Coturnix japonica: one gene and its partner. The protein of the gene in region 1 interacts with the protein of each later gene in a pairwise test. Links are inferred from orthologs where the notes say so. Each region holds a gene or a part of one and is shown on either strand. Other genes may lie near its edges.

What was found.
Region 2: the proteins of glutathione S-transferase-like (region 1) and C3H2orf50 interact in binary tests that used the Homo sapiens proteins (3 or more experiments, as listed by UniProt). The two-hybrid records come from large-scale screens. The link is inferred for Coturnix japonica from reciprocal best matches to the Homo sapiens genes GSTA4 and CIMIP5.

The regions. Positions count from the first base shown.
Region 1 is NC_029518.1:80,704,248-80,712,743, forward strand, and holds the end of glutathione S-transferase-like, read left to right. Parts: intron 1-1,660; 5' UTR 1,661-1,695; coding exon 1,696-1,782; intron 1,783-2,463; coding exon 2,464-2,515; intron 2,516-4,919; coding exon 4,920-5,052; intron 5,053-5,398; coding exon 5,399-5,540; intron 5,541-6,549; coding exon 6,550-6,681; intron 6,682-7,890; coding exon 7,891-8,016; 3' UTR 8,017-8,182; downstream 8,183-8,496. UniProt on the Homo sapiens protein: Conjugation of reduced glutathione to a wide number of exogenous and endogenous hydrophobic electrophiles. This isozyme has a high catalytic efficiency with 4-hydroxyalkenals such as 4-hydroxynonenal (4-HNE).
Region 2 is NC_029518.1:88,603,435-88,614,842, reverse strand, and holds C3H2orf50 (uncharacterized protein C2orf50 homolog), read right to left. Parts: upstream 6,203-11,408; 5' UTR 5,184-6,202; coding exon 4,921-5,183; intron 3,317-4,920; coding exon 3,277-3,316; intron 2,656-3,276; coding exon 2,464-2,655; 3' UTR 174-2,463; downstream 1-173.

The DNA of each region.
Region 1 (8,496 bases):
ATGTTTACATGATTGCATCTACTCTTTTCAGATAATTCAACTCTCAGTTTATACGTACATTTCTCTACTCACTCTGTAAGCATAAAAATGTTCCACCTAATCGCTTTCTTCACCCTCTCGCATGTCTTTCTCGCTATGTGCGGTTGCTAGATACCCTCTACTCGGGTCGTACATAGTTAATCATCGCTTTAAACATGTAAGTTTTGGTGCATTACAAGCAGGGTCAATGTGTGTTGGAATGGATACCGATGCCAATGCTTCTGGATGAAGGTGCGTAATTCGAAGAGGCACCCAATATGTTAGCTGTGGGCCCCGCACAGCATACCCCGCCCCCCTGCAAGGTCACATGCGTCCCTCTACATAAGATGCTTATCACCTGCCCCTGTCCAGTCCAGCACTTTACAGAACACCACTAAATGCTAACGTCCTGACTTCACCGTTGCAAGGACCTTTTAATCTTTAGCAGACCAGTTTGTTGCCATTCTCACAACTCCGCTCTTGCCTGCCCACACCACACCTCACCCACTACAGATGGTGCGAAAAGACATGTGATGGCTATCGAATTATGCGAGCTGCATGCACATCATTGGGTCGTTCGTCTGGTGTGCAGGGCCCTGGGCACAGGTGTGCACTCCCTGGTGCCTTGGGGTACATTATGGGGGCACCCACAGCCAGGTTGTAGGTATGATTTGGGAGGTGACCATAAGCACCAAGGAGACAGGCTGAGGCCATCCAAGATGACTGATCTAGCTGCTGATTTACGCTGGTTGGCAACTCTGCCCTGGCAGGGGGTTTGGAACTAGATGATCCCTGAGGTCTCTTCCAACCCAGGCCATTCTATGATTCTATGCGTGCAAAGGCAGCTCAATCTGCCTCTTGGAACAGAAGGAAGATCAGTGATTCATGTAATTAAAGAAAGAAGTGGATGACAGATGAAGCTGTGTGATGCACTCTGACATCTGGAGAAAGAAAAGAAAAGAAAAGAAAAGAAAAGAAAAGAAAAGAAAAGAAAAGAAAAGAAAAGAAAAGAAAAGAAAAGAAAAGAAAAGAAAAGAGCTAGGAACATTTCAGCCTAGCAGTAAAACACCTTTTCCTTTCCCTCTTTTCAGTGGGGATCAAGGCAATGAAGGGCACTGAGTAACTGCCCCGAGGGCATGGTAGGATTTCCAGTGGCTTTGAATTAATGCAGCAAGGCTCCCCCTCCAGCGATTGCTTGTTTAAGCATGTGTGACCATGAACACCCTTTCCCAGTAGCACTGGAACAGTTTTACCACTCAGCACATCTTTCCTTTCCTTTGTATAAGACAAAAGGTAATGGCCTTAAGCTGAGCCAGGGGAGGTTCAGATTGGATATTAGGAAACATTTCTTCTCAGAAGGAGTGGTGAGGCACTGCAGGCTGCCCAGGGAGGTGGTGGAGTCACAGTCCCTGGAGGTGCTCAGGAACCATTTGGATGCATCACTGAGGGGTGGGTTGACTGGTAGAATATCCAAACTTAATGATTCTATGATTCTATAGGCTGTGTTGTCACTAATCCATCTCTCATATTTTAAGTCAAATAATGTACACTCACAGCAGATGTAGTGAGAATAAAAGGCTTTTCTATTTCTTCCCCCTGAATAATGGTACTTAAACCTGCTTTATGAGATCTTTGTTTTCAGCTTTATATTTTTCAAGGCACCAGAAGCTCAGAAGCATGTCGGGGAAGCCCAGGCTCACCTATCTCAATGGGAGAGGGCGAATGGAGTCCATCCGTTGGCTGCTGGCTGCAGCTGGAGTGGAGGTTGGTTGACAATCAGCTCTTTAAACGGACACTGTGTGAAACAGTTCAATATGCACACAGGGAATAAGAGACTGTAAAAGGGTGAAAAGTTTGTTTTTGGAATAGATTTAGGTTTGGACCTACTCTGTTCAGTGGCTGGTATTTGGGATGCAAACTCAATGGAGCTTTGGGTTTCACAGAGTTAGCATGAGTCTTCTGAAGTAATTCTAGTGGGTCTAAACAGGGATTTTTTTTAAAGGCCTTTAATAAATCTAAGTTTTCTAGCTGTGCAAAATCACTTTTGCTCAGTCTTATTTAGATTGCAGTTGCAAAGTGTATATATAAAAAAAAAAGGATGTTGTTGACTTACATGCTCTTGGGGTGGTGTTAGAAAGAGCTGATTTACTTGTGCTTCCCTTGGCATTGGCTGCAGCCTGCTCTTCCCTGTAGATGCCTGTGTCTTCTGCTTGCACTCCAATAATTTCTAAATCAGTGCAGCCAGGCAGAAATGGCCAGGCCCTTCTGCTGCAATCCAGCCATGGGGATGGGTGGAGAGTCCTCAGGGGATTCACAGTCAAACATCACAGCTGAAGCCCCAGCTCATCGTGTTTTGCTTGGCTGGATTGTTCTGCTCGAGGTTATGTGCAGTCAATTGGAGAAAGATGCCAGAAACATAAAGAGCTCTTCTCTCTTCTTTTCTAGTTTGAAGAAATTTTTCTGCAAACAAGAGAGCAGTTTTTGAAGTTAGACCAAGGTAAGACTATGATGCTTGAGGCTTTGGCCATCAGAAAGTTGCTCGTATTAATCTACATTTGTGATTTAAAAGCAATTTATTTAAACCAATGCAAACTTCCAGGTATAAATCTAGAATGCTGAACACTGGTTTTGTGTAACCTGTTTGTTGCAGTACCAAATAACTCCTATGAGATAGAAGGCAGAATGGCATAATTCCACATTCAGTAATGAAGCCTATCTGTTGCCAGAGAGGAGAATTAAGTGGCAGTGAAAAGGACAGGGAAGTCTTTGAAGGAAAATCAAGGCTCTTCATGTATATATGTATACTGAGCTTAAGGGATTGAGAGCACAAAGAAAAAGGCTGGCTTTGATACGATAAGGCAAAGAAAGTTGAATATTAGTCATTTGGTGGAGTGCTGCCAGGAGATCAGAGCAGGACTGAACTTAAATAACCACCACTCCCTCTACCTCCATCTTTTTTCTCTCTCCTTGCCAATGTGCCTTGTGCCAGGGAGCCCTGAGTTCAGACTCCAGAGCACTGTTACCACCAGCCAGGTGTGCCTCTGGCCTGTGCCAGCTGATGGTCTTCTAGGAATCCTCCAGCGCTTTCTGGCATTCGGCCCAGGCCAGGAGCCGTTCCCAGTGGGCACCTTCTAGCCAGACAGCTGCTTTGGAGACAGAGAGACTCCAGCACATCACCCTGACCAGCCTGTACACACTGGCTTGAGACCAGCTGGCTTGGCTTGATCTATGTAGCCACAGGTTGATGTCAAGAAGTATTGCTGTTCTGTCACAAACAGGCCTAGATTATCACTCTTTAATGAATGCCCACAGACCATCACCAGACACAAAATACAGCCAGCAAACTGCTTTAAACCCTGCATGTATGTTATATGCAGTGGCTACATGAAGCGGTTCCACTGCAAAACAAGAAGCAGCAGCCTACTGATGGTCACAGGGGAAATATTCTTCTCTGTAGAGAAGAAACAAACCAGGCATTCAGAGTCCTCACATTTGCTACACTGTACTTCTTGTCAAGGAGCAGAAGGTCAGATTCATTATCTACTTAGTGCAACTTCTTGCAGAGAAGTATGCTTGGATAGCTGCTATTTTTCCAGTCCTACGTTATTTCTGCCTGATATGGGTCTTTTTAGAGGTGATATTCTTTTCCTAATCTGCAGAGGTGTGTTTTGGTAAGAGATGATGACACAGGGTCATTCTGTTAGTGTTTATGAGAAATAAATGGGCTATTTCTTGCCACAAAAAGAGCTGCTTTTTGAATTTAAGCTGTAAATTAGTGATGTAGTGAAGAGTTTTTATTAATTCTTGGTTAGTAGAGTATTTTAGCAGCATCTCTGTAAAGAAGTGAGTAGGTAAAGGTGTTGTGAATTCTTGTACTTGGAAGAAATGCACTATTAATAACCGCCAAGCAATTAAAATAAATGCTTAACTTTGAGCAATACAGAGTGGCAACTGTCTACTTGGATTTAGAGCTGCAGTGTGATCTTAACAGGTCAAGATTGTTCTTTGGGTGCCCCTAAACATGTAAATGGAGCAGGGAGTATCTCCAAAGCTGGCAAATGAGTTCAGCAGAAAACTGTGCTAGAAAAGACTGGCTTTGCTGTTCTGAACACAAGGTCTCTCTGCACAGCCTCACTAAAGGATCAGCCAGACTGCTTCCAGCAGTGGGAGAAAACAGGGCTGTCAGCACAGGGGCAGGAGAGGATGGTGGTGGCACAGCTGGATGGTTTTGAGTTGTTGTGAAATGACACTGGGGACAGGCAGGCATGTAATGGAAATCTACAGGGATGCTCAAAGTCCTGTTTCTGGAGCAACTATGCAAAACTTAGTGAAGCAGCGAGCTGCTGTCACACTCCCCATCCCTGGCTTCAGTGCCTCACAATGAATCTGGCACTGCTTCTCCCAGTGCCCTGACCTTTCCCTTTGTCCCACTAGCTCAGTCTTACTGTGGCACTACCTCTTTTTTTTAATTTCCAACCCTATTTATGTGCCTGCCAGGGGACTGAGCTGCATTCAGAATAATTGGACTTTTTGTTCTGAAGTTCAGATTTAACACAGCTCTTCATTCTTCACAGGTCCCTGGGGCTGGAACTGCTGGGTCAGCCTTCTCCTGCCAGCAGGGCCAGGGGCCAGGAGTGCAAGGGAGCAGTGCCAGTTCCCATCAGGCAGAGCAGCTCTGGCAAAGCTGCAAAGCATGGGGCCCAGCTGCACTGCTCTGACCGAGCTGCAAACCTGATGCCTACCAGACAGTATTTGATCTTTCCCACAATGTTAATTAACCACGTGGAGTTTCAGAGTTAGGGCAAGGCGTCTGTGATCTACACTGCAAAAGAAATGCACTCTCCTGTAAAGCTGGAAGTCAAGGAGGAATTAACAAGCTCTCCTTCGTCTTTCTGTTCTAGATGGATCCCTGCTGTACCATCAACTGCCGCTGGTTGAGATCGACGGGATGAAGTTGGTGCAGTGCAGAGCCATCCTCAACTACATAGCAGGGAAATACAATCTCTACGGGAAAGACCTGAAGGAGAGAGCCCTGTACTGTAACACTTCCTCTTGCTTAATGAGCAATCTGTTATTTGATAGCCGTATTACATAGAACAAATGCAACCCTGTAAATCCAATACAAAGGTGTGAGAAAGGCTAACGAAACAAAGCAGACTGTGGCTTTTGTTTGGGTTTTAGCCATTGCTTATGAAATGCTATTGAACAGAAAACAGGCTTTTAGTCCATTCAAAATTTACCTAGCTTTATTTTGTACTTAGTTTTGGCTATGAAAATTGGCACCGTGATTGTGCTACACAGTTCCTGTAAGTTGCTTTAGTTAATTGCAATACAAATGAAATAAATCCCGTGCTCTTATCTATTGCTTCCCCCCAAATAGGATCGACATGTATGTGGAAGGAATATCAGATCTGATGCAACTGATTTTGATGTTTCCTTTCTCTCCACCTGACGCAAAGGAGAAAAATCTTGCCACGATTGCAGAGAAGGCAAAAGAGAGGTACTTCCCTGTCTTTGAAAAGGTACGTGACAGAGAGGATGTGCCTGGGAAACTTGCATTTACAGTTATCAGAAACTTTCCCAAAACTAAGAACATCATTGCGGTACAGTTGGATCCAGATCCTCAGTCCACTTGGCTCTCACAGAGAAGGGGAAATGAAACAGCAAATCTTCTGTTTGTTAGCTTATGTTGTCAGGGCTGGAACAGCCACCAAGCAAACAAAGTGAAATATTTTCAGTTTACACAGCATATCTCTTTTTACTGATGTAAAAGCAAGCACACATGTTATTGTTGTTGTTTTTTTTTTTTACTATGAGAGAAAATTCCACTCTTCTATTTGTCCAGAGCACATCCTCTCTGCTGCCCTTCAGTCAAAGAATGCAGAAAACCCTTGCAAATAAATCAGATAGACAAAAACATTGAGGTATTGGGACTGCTGTCGTAAAACAACAGCCTCAGATTTCTACACGCCTCATTTGCAGAAACAACAAACCAAACCCACAAGACCTGGCAACACTGTTCACCTTTGTAACGTTCATTTAGTTTTGATGGAAAACAATGATAAATGCTGAACATCCTAGAAGTTCCTATTACCATAACAACTTGCTTCTGGAGGCGGGGATTCTCTTTGGTTTGCTATTGTGATTTTGCATACTAAGTTTGCTTCCTGCATGTTGAACAGAACCATAGATTAAATCTCTAAATGGCATTTTCATGAATTCTCTCCAAGTCCTCTGTTGTCTCTATTTATAACCTTATGACTGTTAATATCTTATTTAAGTGTGTGGCTTTGTCTGTTTTCCCAGTACCGATCATCACTCATCATTACCAAGTGACCAGAGTTTGTAATATGTGTACTAGAAGTTCTGATTTTTTCCAACAACAGTAAAGTGATTTGGGCTCACAGTTCTCTAGCTAAAAAGTGAAACTTCACTTACAATCACTTGCAGTCACTGATTAGCTCTACAACTGTGCCATAAGGCTCAGCTGCCATGTATCATCTGCAACCTGTGCTCTCTTGTACTCTACAGATTTTGAAACAGCACGGCCAAGATTTTCTTGTGGGAAACCGATTCAGCTGGGCAGATGTTCAGCTCACGGAATGCATTTTAGCAGTGGAGGAGAAAGTACCTTCTGTGCTTTCTGGGTTTCCTCAGCTGCAGGTAATGATGCTATCGAACAAACTCATGTTCAGGAACCACGCAGTACAAAGACCTGCCATCTCAGTAGAAATCAGTGTCATTCTAAGGAAACCACTGATCTAAGCTGCCCTGTTTCCATTTTCCTGTCTCCTGCTTGTAAATACTATCTACTACTAATAACAAACTAATTCTGTGACATAGATAGACATGTTAGAATATGATAGAATGTGCCATTTTCTGTCCTGGCTGGTATTATAAATTTGGGATTCCAATAACTTTACTACAGCATGGCCAGAAATTCAAGACCTGATGAAAGAAAACACACTGTTTTCTTTCAGTAATCAACTTGATATCATCAAGGATGAATTTTCTGCTTTTATACTATGTACAAAATCTGCAACCAAGTGAAAGTAAGGCAATCAGAGATCAGACAATTCCAGATCTACAGCATGCTATAGAGCCCAATGCATTATCAAACCTGCAGGAGTCAGAGTTGTGATACAGAGGATCTAAATCCTCTGAGACTAAAAGAAGCAAATACTGTTCAGTAGTTCAACCTTGTGCCTGTAATCTTGGTAAATGGAGTAGTGCAAGCAATGTTAATTTAGACTGATGATTCTATGCTTAAAGTCATTACTTTGTGCTTAAAAACAGTTAACCTGAAGGATGCACTCAAAGACTTTGACTTTGATCCCATTAACAAAACAAGCAGTCCAGCATCAGACTATCCTAACTGGAATTTCTGCTTGGTACTCAAGGAAAAGGGGCAGGGAGGAGATGTGATACTCTCCCTACCCCTCAAATCCCAACTCCAGCAGTATAAGTCTGAATTCAGTCTTACTCCTTCCTGCACCCCACCCCCCTCCCCCCTTATCATTCCAGTGCTTGTAAGGAAGAAGAAATGTTCATACATGTGCCAGCAAGAAATGGCTGTTGTTCTGTGAACTCCTCTCCCTTACTCCCATTGTCAGAGGAGGTTCTTACATACATAATATTGCTGAGCTAACTGTGGGGTCTCCATATGCTCAAAACACTGCTTTTGCTGGTAAGAATAAGCATTTGGCAGCATCTGCGTCCCTCTCATATTAGGCCGGAGGAACCTACATAGACCTGCTCAGCACCTGAATGAATTCATTCTACCAGCAGGGGGAAGAAGCTGTCCAGTGTCCTGTGCATGGAACGTTGCTGCTCACATCATCGGGATTTATCTCTCTTGCTTTTATTTTTCAGGCTTTTAAGACTAAAATGAGCAACATCCCCACAATCAAGAAATTCCTGCAGCCTGGCAGCCAGAGGAAACCCCCTCCAGATGAAAATTATGTAGCAACTGTGATGAAAGTTTTTAAGCTAGGCTGAGTGCAATGTTAACTTCACCAAGTCTCAAAGTGCTGGGAAGAAAGACGTCAAAACCCAAACCCTTAAAGGAAGTAGGAAACTCAGTAAAGTTTCATTGTACTTAAAAGCAATAGTAGAAATCAATAAAAGAGTGAAATAAAGCATTCTGTTTACTCTGGCAACATGACAGTGGATTTGCCTTTGTTGGTGTCTAACACTTTGTAATACATGCAAACAAGGCAGAATGGAAGCAAACAACTTTTTGTCAGAGTAGGAAACTTACTCCTTTGTAAGGAGAGTGATGAAGCGCTAGTATGGCAGAATGATCCAAGGGGTGGAACACCTACACTACCAGGACAGGCTGAGAGATGGAGCTGTTCAGCCTGGAGAAAGGAAAGCTCCAGGGACACCTGAGAGCACTGGAACAGGTTACCCAGAGAGGTGGTGGACGTTCCATCCTTGGAAATATACAGGGTGGGGCTGGATGGGGCTCTGAGCAGT
Region 2 (11,408 bases), about 7.9 Mb from region 1:
CCAAGAAGCAGTTTGAAATACAGCTTCTAAAAAACATGGTTGGAATCACCAGCCTTCTAGAATAGAAAGCTGCATAGTTAAGATGTCACATGGGAACTGTGTACAAAAACTATTCTAAGAGCAGAAGAAATAAAGGTTTATATGAAGTTACGTATGTTTTGTTATAAAATACGAACAATTACACACATTTTTATTATGAGAATAGCTTGAAATGAGAACACACAAGACTTGGAGGCACTGGGAACAATCCTTAGAAGAGAAAGCCATCTATCTAACTCCAGAATTAAATTCAAATTCCTACCCACTTGTGCGCTTTGACTGAAAGAAATACAGAGAATGGATTCTCTAAACACAGATAATCTCTTCTTTGAGATCTGGCAGCTAAAGGAAAGAAAAAAAACCCTCTTATAAAACCATGAAGCACGAGTGATACATCATAAAAACTCTTCTCAAGAAGCTTACAGCGCAGTTTAGTATCTGTACAATCTCCTTAATAAATGGAGTTTCCACCGATCATTTACAAATGTAAGTGCTGCTGTCATCCATTCCTTCTCAGTGTCTCTGCTTATGTAAATAAAGATTTGTTGGTGACATTAATTCTGGTAAGAGAAAAAATGATCGCTAAACTTGGGAAGAAAACAGTGTCTACAGAATACCTCTTTACTGCTTTCTGCTCACAGGATCTATGGCAGCTTTGGTTGAGTCCTCAGCAGCTCCCAGCTGTGTTCTCTGAAGGTTGCTGTAGGTGTTAACTTACTTTAACTACACACTAGGCACTAAGGATGGATTTCAGAGGGGCTCTGATTGAAAAAGGCTCATCTGGATGCAGTGAAAAGCATTTCACTGTAAAGTGGCAGCCAGAAGAAGGCTAGGAATGTGCGCTCATTGAAACATGAGGTGATCTGGGTTTTAGAGGTGTGGTCTATGCCAGTCTGACCCAACTGATGTGATTTTTAAATCCTTTTTGGATATGTTTTGAAAAGCCATGTTTTCTGATTCCGGCAACTCCAGTGAAGATCTGATAACTGATGAAAACTGCTTCAGTTACACAGTTCACACTCTAACAGGCAAACCTTGTTAAATATGTCATTCCTGATGGCTGTGCGTGTTTAACATTTAAAGGTAGAGATTTCTCAGTTCCCATTCTCTTTTTATTTTTTCAGGTTAAGCTGTAATAACCTGTTTAATGTATCCTCATAGCCAAACTTCCCAGTACTCTGTTTACAGTCTTTGCTTCTCAAGTCTTGTTAGTGCCCACGTCTTCAGAGCAGCACCTTCCATGTTTTGCCCAAAACTGGAAGAAACGCTTCAGTTGAAGCAGTGCCAGTACTGAGTAGAAGGATAAAGTGCAGTGCTGTGACCACCCTCTGTCCCGTGCAATCCATTTTGCAGGGCCTCTCTGGGACAGGGATTCTCTGGATTCACACAGAGCAAACACTGTTGAGAATCTGGAACTATTTAATGCCCTTAGAAATTAGGAAGGTATTGTGCAATGCTGTTGCTGTGCCCTTTGCAATGGGTTACTTGGTGGGAAGTGAGTGCCATCTGCAGGTTAGAAAACGTGGAGCTTGCTATGTTCCCACTAGATGCATTTGAAATAAAAACAGTTCCTGCTGCAGCTTTCTTCTCTTAGAAGAAATCAGAAGGTATTTTAGCTCAGCAAGATTATTATTATTTTGTTGAAAGTGTAGGCTTCCATTTTCCATGCTCTGCTGATTAATGTTTTTTCCTCCAAAACAACAGATCACAAACAAGCTTTGCACCCAGATGCATTAGTAAACAGGCTGTAAGTATTGTGTCGATTTAGCCTTATGATTTCCCTGGGTAACTGCAGATTTTAGGAGCTACATCCCTGTTAAATTAAAGAATGGTGACAATAAGAATATAACCTGGCTCAGCCTGGCTCAGGTTTCTCGGCAGGGAGGCTTGAAAATGCATGTAACGCATCTTACATTCCTTCAACTTTACTCCTAAGAACAAGCTTAAACACGCAGGTGACAAGCTGATGAATCCTTGGCTAAATACATGAAATACAACAACCTGCTGCACTTTATCACACTGACTTTCAGAGGTTGTATCATGTTGTTTGTAGTGCAACTCATCTGAACTGATCTCCATCAATTGTTTCTTTTCAGGAGGTAAAAATTCAGGAAGAAACTGCCCTTAGACTCTAAACTTTCTCTTTAGTAGCAATGTTACAATGGCCTCGCATGGGAAGATAGATGGGATCTGTGGTCCTGACTCACTGTATATGGCCCAGTTACCTCAAATCTGAAGAGGATTGTCTTCTTAGGCATTGCTTGGTGACATACATCTTTGCTCTTGAAAAAGCTCCACGCAGGACAGTACTGTTGATATCAGGGGGAAGATGAGGAATTTGTTCCCTGCTATTTTCAGTCTGAAAGAAGTCTATTAGCTAGATCTCTGTCACTTGCTTTGTTACCGGTATCTTTACTTTAAGCATTAGGAAAGCTGGAGGTCATCTTCAAGTTTCCTCTTTTGTGCTCCCCTGCTGAAGAAGTAATCCATGTTTATCAGCATCTTGCCATGTTCAGTATTCATCCTACTACCAATGTTCTGGTTGGTCGAATTGGGAACCGTGTTTGAAAACACAGATGTACAGTCTGGCAGTGGCTTCTGTTCCTTTTTGTTACCCTGGATGAAACAAAGACCATTAATGCTGGAGTTTTCACAGCTGCATCATTTGCTTCTGAAAATACAGGTTATAGAGATTATTACTAACATCAGCTCTTTTGCTTTTTGACAATTAAGGTGTAAGCATGTAATAGTTCCCTAATGCACATGAAAGCGTTGCAAAAATACAGTAAAAAGTTTTCCTAGCAATTTTTCCTGGGAATAAGATAGCACAGGGAAATGAATCATTTTTAAATATGCTGCTTAAAATGTCAGGAGAGAAAGAATTTAGCCTGCTCTGGAATGGTCATGATGTGGGACGATATTTGTTTTGTTTTTAGTAGTGGCTTGGATTTTAGTATGACATTATCTTACACTTTGTTTTCCCCTGAGCTGGTTCTTCTAGCACTTTTCTCTGCATGAAGTTATAAATACTGGAGCAGACTGAAGGCACGCACAAAGCTGTATTCCTTTATGGAAGATGAATGACACCTCAGCTCTCTTTTGTTTTCCTAATGATTTTAGTCTTCAAACATTTGCCAGTTATGCCTAAATATGCTCCATTTAAAATATTAGTGTCCTTTGAAGTGGTGCAAGCTAAAAAGAACCTGGATTACAGTTAAGTATTTGTTTGAAACTTACCATTTGGTCGTAGTCCTTTAGGAAACTCCAGTTCTGGTACCTCGGAACAGAAGTCAAAATTGCAGTTTAAAATGTTTTGTCTTTTTTGTCCCTGTTTTATACATCTTGCTATGTTGAACACTATATGAGTGTACCAGGTTTGGACGTCACTGTAAGGTGCTCATTAATGAGAAAAGTTTGTGTCTCTGCCATTTGCCTGTACCCACTTCAGGTCAGACCACAAACTCATAGCGAGCTTTTCCCATCACTGTCTTTGGTATGGGGATGAGGCGCCAAAGGACAGTTCTCTGCAGGCTGTGGCCTGATGTCACAGGATGTTTGGATGTGGTGCTCAGGGATATGATTTAGCAGAGGGTTGTTAGAGTTAGGGTACTATGGTTAGGCTGCAGTTGGACTTGATGATCTTCAAGGTCTTTTCCAACCTGAGTAACTGTATGATTCTATGTCGGCAGCAATGCTGACTTTAGACATCTGTCCACATATCTGTCCTACCCTTGTGCAAGAGTTGTGTCTCTGTTGCCAAGGATGGAGAGCAGGGCATGCGTTAGTTGTAGATGTGTTACCCTAAGTACACATGAACATGGGTTTGCACTGACATCCATGACTGTGAGCCCTAATAGACATGGGCAGATGTAGCATCCCTCCTGTTGCCTTTGCTGAAGAATGGGCATGGAACATTTGGGCCCACTGGGAAAGGTCCTGAGTGTACAACTGAGGGAGAGCAGCATTGCAACCACAGCCCAGGCTTTGTGTGAGTCAGAGTCCAGGCTTCAGCCTTTCCCTCAGGCAAAAAGAGCCAGTGAACACAGCAGGCACTGGAGAAACCCAAACTATGATCTATATTTCCTCCAGAGGACTGAGGAGGAGGACAGGAGTTTTCAGATGGCTTCTTTTCCCTTCCTAAAACCATCCTAAAAGTGGTGTGCTTCATTCTCTGCCTTTTTTCTTTTGTCTGCTTGGCTAGTGCATAGGCAGAACTGGAGCTATTTTTACTTTTACCAAATATATTCCTGTAAGAATTATGTCTGTGTTGTGTACTGAAGTATGAACAGAAGCACTTCACAAGTTACGTGACAGAGAGGATCTTAATCTCTGTCTCTTTCAGGTAACTGGTGAATACATGTATGCAGGCAGTTCTTTCTGCTGAAGCACTGAAATAATGGGATTTTTCCTGTCTTCATGTGGCTTGTAGGGTATGTTCAGGAGATTTACAGATTGGGAATCCAGAGTCATGTTTTGGCAGAACACTCTGTTCAATTTCCATTTCAGCCATTTCCAAGAATATGAGAAGTGGTGATAATATCAGTGTGTCTGCAATAAATTATAAAGGTTGGCACATTTATATAATCATTGTGGAGATCCCTATAAAGCTAAAAGACAGAAAACATGCGCTTCTTTGCATCTCTTTTTCAGCTTTTTCAGTGTGTTGGGAGTTATTGGCATAGATTTTGCCCAGTAGAGAACAGAGTTCATATAGTGTTAGAATCTTTCTAATGCTAAGGTGGTAGGTTCTAATCCAAGGATCCTGCAGAAGAAAACTTTGCTTGATAGTGTAGGCTTCGGATGAAGCCCTATGATGTCAGGGTGCATCAGTACTATTGCCGAGATGAGCAGAAGAGGGGTGAATTGGAACAAATGACTTACCAGATTTTTCTTCCTCTCCGTTCAGCCTCCACAGACTCTCTCCAGACCTTATCCTGCTGTACCTGGTCCTGCTGCAGTGCTGCCCGCTCCTCTGCCCTGGGCCTAGCAGCCAGGTGTGCTCTTCCAGGCCAAATGCTGCCACGAGACAGAGGAGGAGCTGAGGCTGTTTGCTCCAGAGCTTTGCTTGCTGGATGCCGAGAACCATTCAAGGTATTCCTCCCAAATCCAGAACCCTTTTCCAACGTGTCCATTTTGACACTCATAACAGAGCTACTGACAATGAAGCAGGTTAAGCCTGCTGTTGTGCTTTCAGTGCTCCTCCTCCCCCAGCGCTTTCTTTCAGCTGCAGATTTGGACTGCTTTAAGAAAATGAGCACGCAGACCAGCTCTGACGGGTAGCGCTCAGCACCGTTTTGCTTCTTTGTTATTTAATGATCATTTCCTACTGCTCTGCGTTGCTTCGTTGCATGAAGGCTGAACAAGTTTCTGTGGTAACAACAATTTTTGTAAGAAACACTTGTTACTGAAATCCATCAGTCTCCAGCTGTAAGCAGCAAGCTCTCTGCTTAGGGAGGTGATGCGTGCTGCTTACAGCTGAGACCACCTTATGTTCATGCAGAACAGCAAAGCGTGCTTTAATGCAGAGCATGCTGTGGGACTGCTGCTGGTTTGTCAGGAGGAGTTTTGTGGTAGCTCTGTGGCAGAAGCAAAACCTCCCGAAAGCTGCTGCTTTCCCTGATGTGTTTACTGTCTCCATTGGAAACCAGGCTGGCTTGTGAATATTCACCAGAGAGGGGGCAGAAACCCAGTGCAGGCAGCTGTTGAGGCCTTGGACTGTTTGGGCAGAGCGCTTTTGTTTGAAAGAAGATATTCCAATGCAATCGTGCTTTTAAAGCTCCTTATTTTCAGATTTAAAGAAGAGCATCCAAAGATCATAAAAAGTCCATATAAAATACTCAGAGATTTCTTCAGAAGATATTAAGCAACTATGGGAAGTTCTTTTTAATGAACTTTCAGGAGCTATTAGTGAGAATTTTCAAAACAGTGTCTGAAATGTCAGTTTGTCAGCCCTACAGTCAGCCTGTGACGGCCTCTGTGGTATTAAGTCACTTCCTCAAGTGTTGGTGACCTTGCAGGAAAATAAGGCCATTTAAAGTATAAATTTCCTCTTCAATTCTCAACTGACTTGTTTCTGAGTCATGGGAATCAGCTCCAGATGAATTCTAGCTTCGTGCCTCAACTTCCTAGTAAATGCTAATCTGTTTTTTAGGGATTTTGCTTTCTTTTTCTTTCTTCTTTTTCTTTTTTTTTGGGGGGGGGAAATGTACTTACTTGGGGGCTTTTGGGAAGCACACGCTGAATTTGGCAAGTAAGAGGTAATTTAAAATAGCTGTAACTGTCCAACAATCCAGACATTTCATGTAGACATTTCTGAGCAAAAGATATTTCTGTGTTTGTAAAAAATTACCATGACTTCAAAAATTTCAGTATCATAAATTAAGAAGAGTTTAAAGATCGATGTCAAAACAGAATGTTTGCTTTGGATTGGAATGCAGTTTTCGTAGGCTTTTTGTCTGTGTTGTTGTCTTTTCTGAGGGAATTGAAACCTAAAGTTTTTTTTTCCACGTCTTTCATCCAAAAAGAACAAAAAATGTCACATGACCACACAGCCCTATAACTAAAGGAATGAGCTGTTTGCCAACCAGGCCTCATAGCTGACTCTGTTCCTCCTCCAGAAGCTTTTTATTCATTCCAAGATCCTCTCCTGGACTGTAGGCAGATAGATAGTTGAAGGGTGTGATTTTAGCGGCATCCAACTGCAGTGAGAGGAACCTGGGGCATGCTTGGAAGAACCAATTAATTTATCAGTGCAGTGTAGGAATTCAGCCTCTGATCAGGTCAGGGAAAGATCCTTCTGGAAAGGCTATTCCTGTGAATTGAATGCTTTTTAATGAATGTTTACAGAGTTCTTCTGTTATTTTTATTATAACCTTTCATAGAATCATTGGAGTTGGAAGGGACCCTTAAAGGCCATCTGGTCCAACTCCCCTGCAGTACACCAAGACACCCACAGCTCCATCAGGGGCTCAGAGCCCCTTCCAGCCCGACCTTGGGTGTCTCCATGGACAGGGCATCCAACACCTCTCTGGGCAACCTGTGCCTGTGCCTCACTGCTGTTTTCATATAAAAAAGTCGCCTTTATTTCCAGTCTAAATCTCCCTTCATTTAGTTTAAAGCCATTCTCCTTGTCCTGTCATAACAGACCCCGCTAAAGAGTCTGTCCCCTTCTATCTTGTACCCCCCGCCCCTTTCAAGTCACTTTATGCAAATTAAATATGAAAATAAGCTAAAAATGATTATCAGCTGAGTATATAGTTTCCAAATGACTTGTTGTAGTCACTGAATAATTTACATGGGAACATTGCTGGCCAGTGCATAGAGTCTGTTCTTTTGAATGTTGTCTGCAAAGATGCAGAAGATGTAACTTACTTAGTTTTGATGCAGCTGGGGAGCAGGAATGTCTGCTTGGAAGTAAGCTAGTAGGTTAAAGTCAGATATTTAGGTCCAAGACTGCAACCTCAGAAAAGATGGGAGTCTTTACCAGTTAGAAATTCTGCTGTTAAATGAATATAATCTATATGTCTACATACAGCGGCTGGACACTTCATCCTGTTCCAGTTGTTTCTATGGATATTGGAGATGGGAGTGGGATAATGGCTGCCTAAATAAGTTTTGTGGTGGTTGTGACTTCAGCTGCTGTTCCAAAACCAGAACACTAAGAGCAAATACTTTAAAAACTATCCTGTGTTCTCATAACTGGTCTCCATTAAGGGTGACATTTCTGGGGACTGCTCTGGGTTCCTTACTGGACAAACCTGTAGCCGATTCAGGCCACTGAATATACAGCTCAGTAGTTCTGCGGGTATTGAACTGTTTTCTCTAATATTATCATCTGCTGGTTTAGCTTTTGGGGTTTTTTATAACAATGTTGGGAATTTAAGAATGGAACTCATTTGGGTTAACACAATTGATCCACTTCATAATTCTTCCCATCCTGCAGTAGAGTAGATTAATGTTAATTGTGGCTTCATGTTGTATGTATCCATGAAAACTGATTATAGCATCTTTATTTTCTCTGCTTGGGGACATGAGAATTGAAAATGTTGTTATGAGTGTCACTGTAGGAGATGGTGCCTTTGCTTGAGGGTTAATTTTGATATTAGTTTCTCTGATAAGCAGTGTCAGGGCCCATTATGCCCATTATGCTGAAGAAGAGCAAAACAGAGGTTATCCCTTTGTTGCTGCCAGACAAGTGATGATGATGCAGATTTGTCTGTAACAAATATATGAACTAGTTCCTTCCAAAAGGAAAAAGATAGGGTTTTTTGGGGGGCAGAAGAAAGCTTCAGTTGTTTAAATAAACTATTACTATATGGCCACAAGAGGGTATTGCAGTATAAGTTATTCAAGATTTCTCTGACTGATTTTTAAAACATACATTTTTCACAACTGAGCATTTAAATTAAACAGTTAAGAAGACCAAATTATCTGTGCCTGTTTTTGATTTCGTCATCCAGGTGCAATTTCTGAGTTGGTTTTTCCAAAAAAAAAAAAAAAAAGAAAAGTTTTTTTGTAGTGAATTTTCCTCTGAAAAATATTGTTTCTAAATTTGAAGGGCAAATTTGTAGCTAAAGGCTCCTCGTGTTTTAAATAGTTCAGGCCATGCAAAAGGGAGCTGGGACGATTTCTGGGTTTTCCTATTTTCCTTATTTCCTGTATTTCCCTTACTGAATTTGAGAGAAATTACTTGGTATAATTTCCTGTCTTTCAGCAAACTCACCTGAAAGAGAATCATAGAATGACCCAGGTTGGAAGGGACCTCAAGGATCATGAAGCTCCAACCCCCCTGCCTGGCAGGGCCACCAAACATACACCTTTACTAGATCAGGTTGCCCAGGGCCCTGTCCAACCTGGCCTTGAACACCTCCAAGGACGGGGCATCCACAACCTCCCTGGGCAGCCTGTTCCAGGACCTCACTACACAGGACCTCAGAAGAAACATAACAACCATATTGCATTATCTGTGAAGATCAGACCCATGATGTAATGTACAGGAAAGCATTTTTCATTTAATAGATTCTGCATTTGATGGGAGTTATCTGCAGAAATCTAAGAAACACAAATGTAGAAGCAGAGCAGCAGCAGGTATGTCACATCTGGATAAGAGGCAGCAGCAAATTCATCAGCTGGAGGAGAGTGCTTCACCGTTTGGAAAGACCAAAATCTCGCCATTGGAATGGAAACCCCCATGACCATCTTTCTACATGGGCTGTGCTGCCAGTCTCTGAGTAGTGCCATATGCATTGTTGTCAGCAAATGAATCAGGATCGCTGTAGTCAGACAAAACTGCCATGTGGAAATGGTGAATTTGGCAGGGTAGGATGCTAGATATTCAGTGTCAGGATGCTGAGCACCCGATAGAGAAGGAATAGGTATTAACCAGCAAGGGATCTGGAAAACCTGGAGGTGGGAGACCCTACTAGCGACATTCAGCTTGGTCTCTCAACAAGAAGTAACTGCATTGCTCTGTGCAGACAAAATGAAAAGTCCTGAAAACAACAAGCTTGGATTAAATCCCTTTTTAAGTGAAGGCTACTTTGCCACTTGGTTAAAGGTCTCATTTGTTGTTAAATTTCACTGAAGCTTTGACAGAAAAGTATAAACTTCATTCTTGTCTTAATGGGATTTCAGCTGAGCGAGCCTGGAAAGTGGAGTGTCTGTTGTGCTGCAGCTTACGAGTGCTGCAGAGGGAATGTCTGCTTCCAGTGACACAGAGTCTGACACTTCAAAATGAAATTGAAGCTGTAAGAAGTCTGTTGGGGATTTTTTTTCCTCTTGCCTCGAGTGTTGCAAAATATGCTAGCGACTGATAGGCAGTTACTTGAAACAAAAGTTATTCATTTGAAAATACTGTTCACTTGAAAAAAACACTCAACTGTGGCTATTCCATGCAACATGCAGACCTTTTCCTTTCAATTTTAGTTGTATCAAAAGCAAATTATAGTTAAAATTGCAACTGGAAGCAGTATAACTTGACAATATGGGCGATCTGTATTTTGGTGTGTTTTCACCAGTACTCTGCAAACTAGGCTGATAGTCTGATAATGCTGGAAGGCACTGAGAGAGGCTTCTTCTTAAACCTGCCTCATGGGCACTGTAGTGGGACTTTGTGCAGGGATGCTGAAGGGTTGTATGGGACTAGGAACGTTTAGAAGAATCCATTTCAGGAGAAAGAAACGAAAAAGGAAGGAATGTTCCTCACTGGCTGAGTCTTATCGATGTTCTCAGTTGGAATTTCACATGCTCGAATAGAGGCTGGATCTTGTGAAGAAGTGCAAAATTGCTTGGACAGCCAAAATGATCTTTAGGATTCAATTAGAGTTGTTCATGTCATGTCCTTACCAGGGCAGGGAGCTCTTGTAATTGAATAAATCTTGGCTTTATTCTGTTTATCCTCTCTTTTCTTGCACTAATAGTTCTAATATATATATACATAAAACATTCATACTCATATATATACTGTATATATAAATATATATACTGTATACATGTTATATATATAGTGGTTAAGTACTCCTGAAAAGGCTGCTCTTCATATTGCTTTAGTACTAAGGCAGCAGCCTTGACCTCAGAAATCTCACATAGCTTTATTCTTTTCTGATTCTGCATCCTGAATATTAACTGTTCTGCTTCTATGAACAGTTAATACCGGCTTGCAGGTCAGCTTCTAACAGTGCTGCTTCACATATACTACAGAGACTCAATTTTCTGTGTTGCCTGGCACACTGTTGTTCTTACATAGATATTTTATTGTGAGTTGCAATATTTCTGATGTGTATCACATTATTTTAATGTTCAAGATGCTTTTTTTTTTCATTGCTCTCTGGCCCTTATCTATATCCCTCAGTAGCTAAGGGTGTATTTACTGGTCTCTACTTTAGGACACTGCATAATTCATTTATACCCGCTTGCTGTATTCAGAAAGGTACATTAACTTTCTGCTTTGATGTGAGATACCAAAATTTCTCTGCAAGACAGACAAATTCTCTTCAAGTTAGCTGGGTTTTGAATCTGGGTGCCTAAAACTTGTTTAAAATGTTTCTCTAGATATTAAATGAAGGGTTCATGTTCTTAACATTTGCCAGTTCTGTTGGCTGACAAATGAGTCCCTTCCCTTTAGTATTTTCAAGGTAAGTGTCAGAGTCTAAAATTGGGAAGCCTTGTATGAACACGTCAATTATACTCTATCTGTTTTTTGATAAACCATCTTCATATCTGTTTTTACCATCTTCGTTGCAGGTTTCTATTAATGTACAAGTAGAAGCTAGTGTTAAACCACACTTCAGGCTCCGGTTTGGCCAACACTGACTGTTAGGCTTTAGAAGGAGGTTCTTCCTAGAGGCAGGATATTTTCATAACTGGATGCA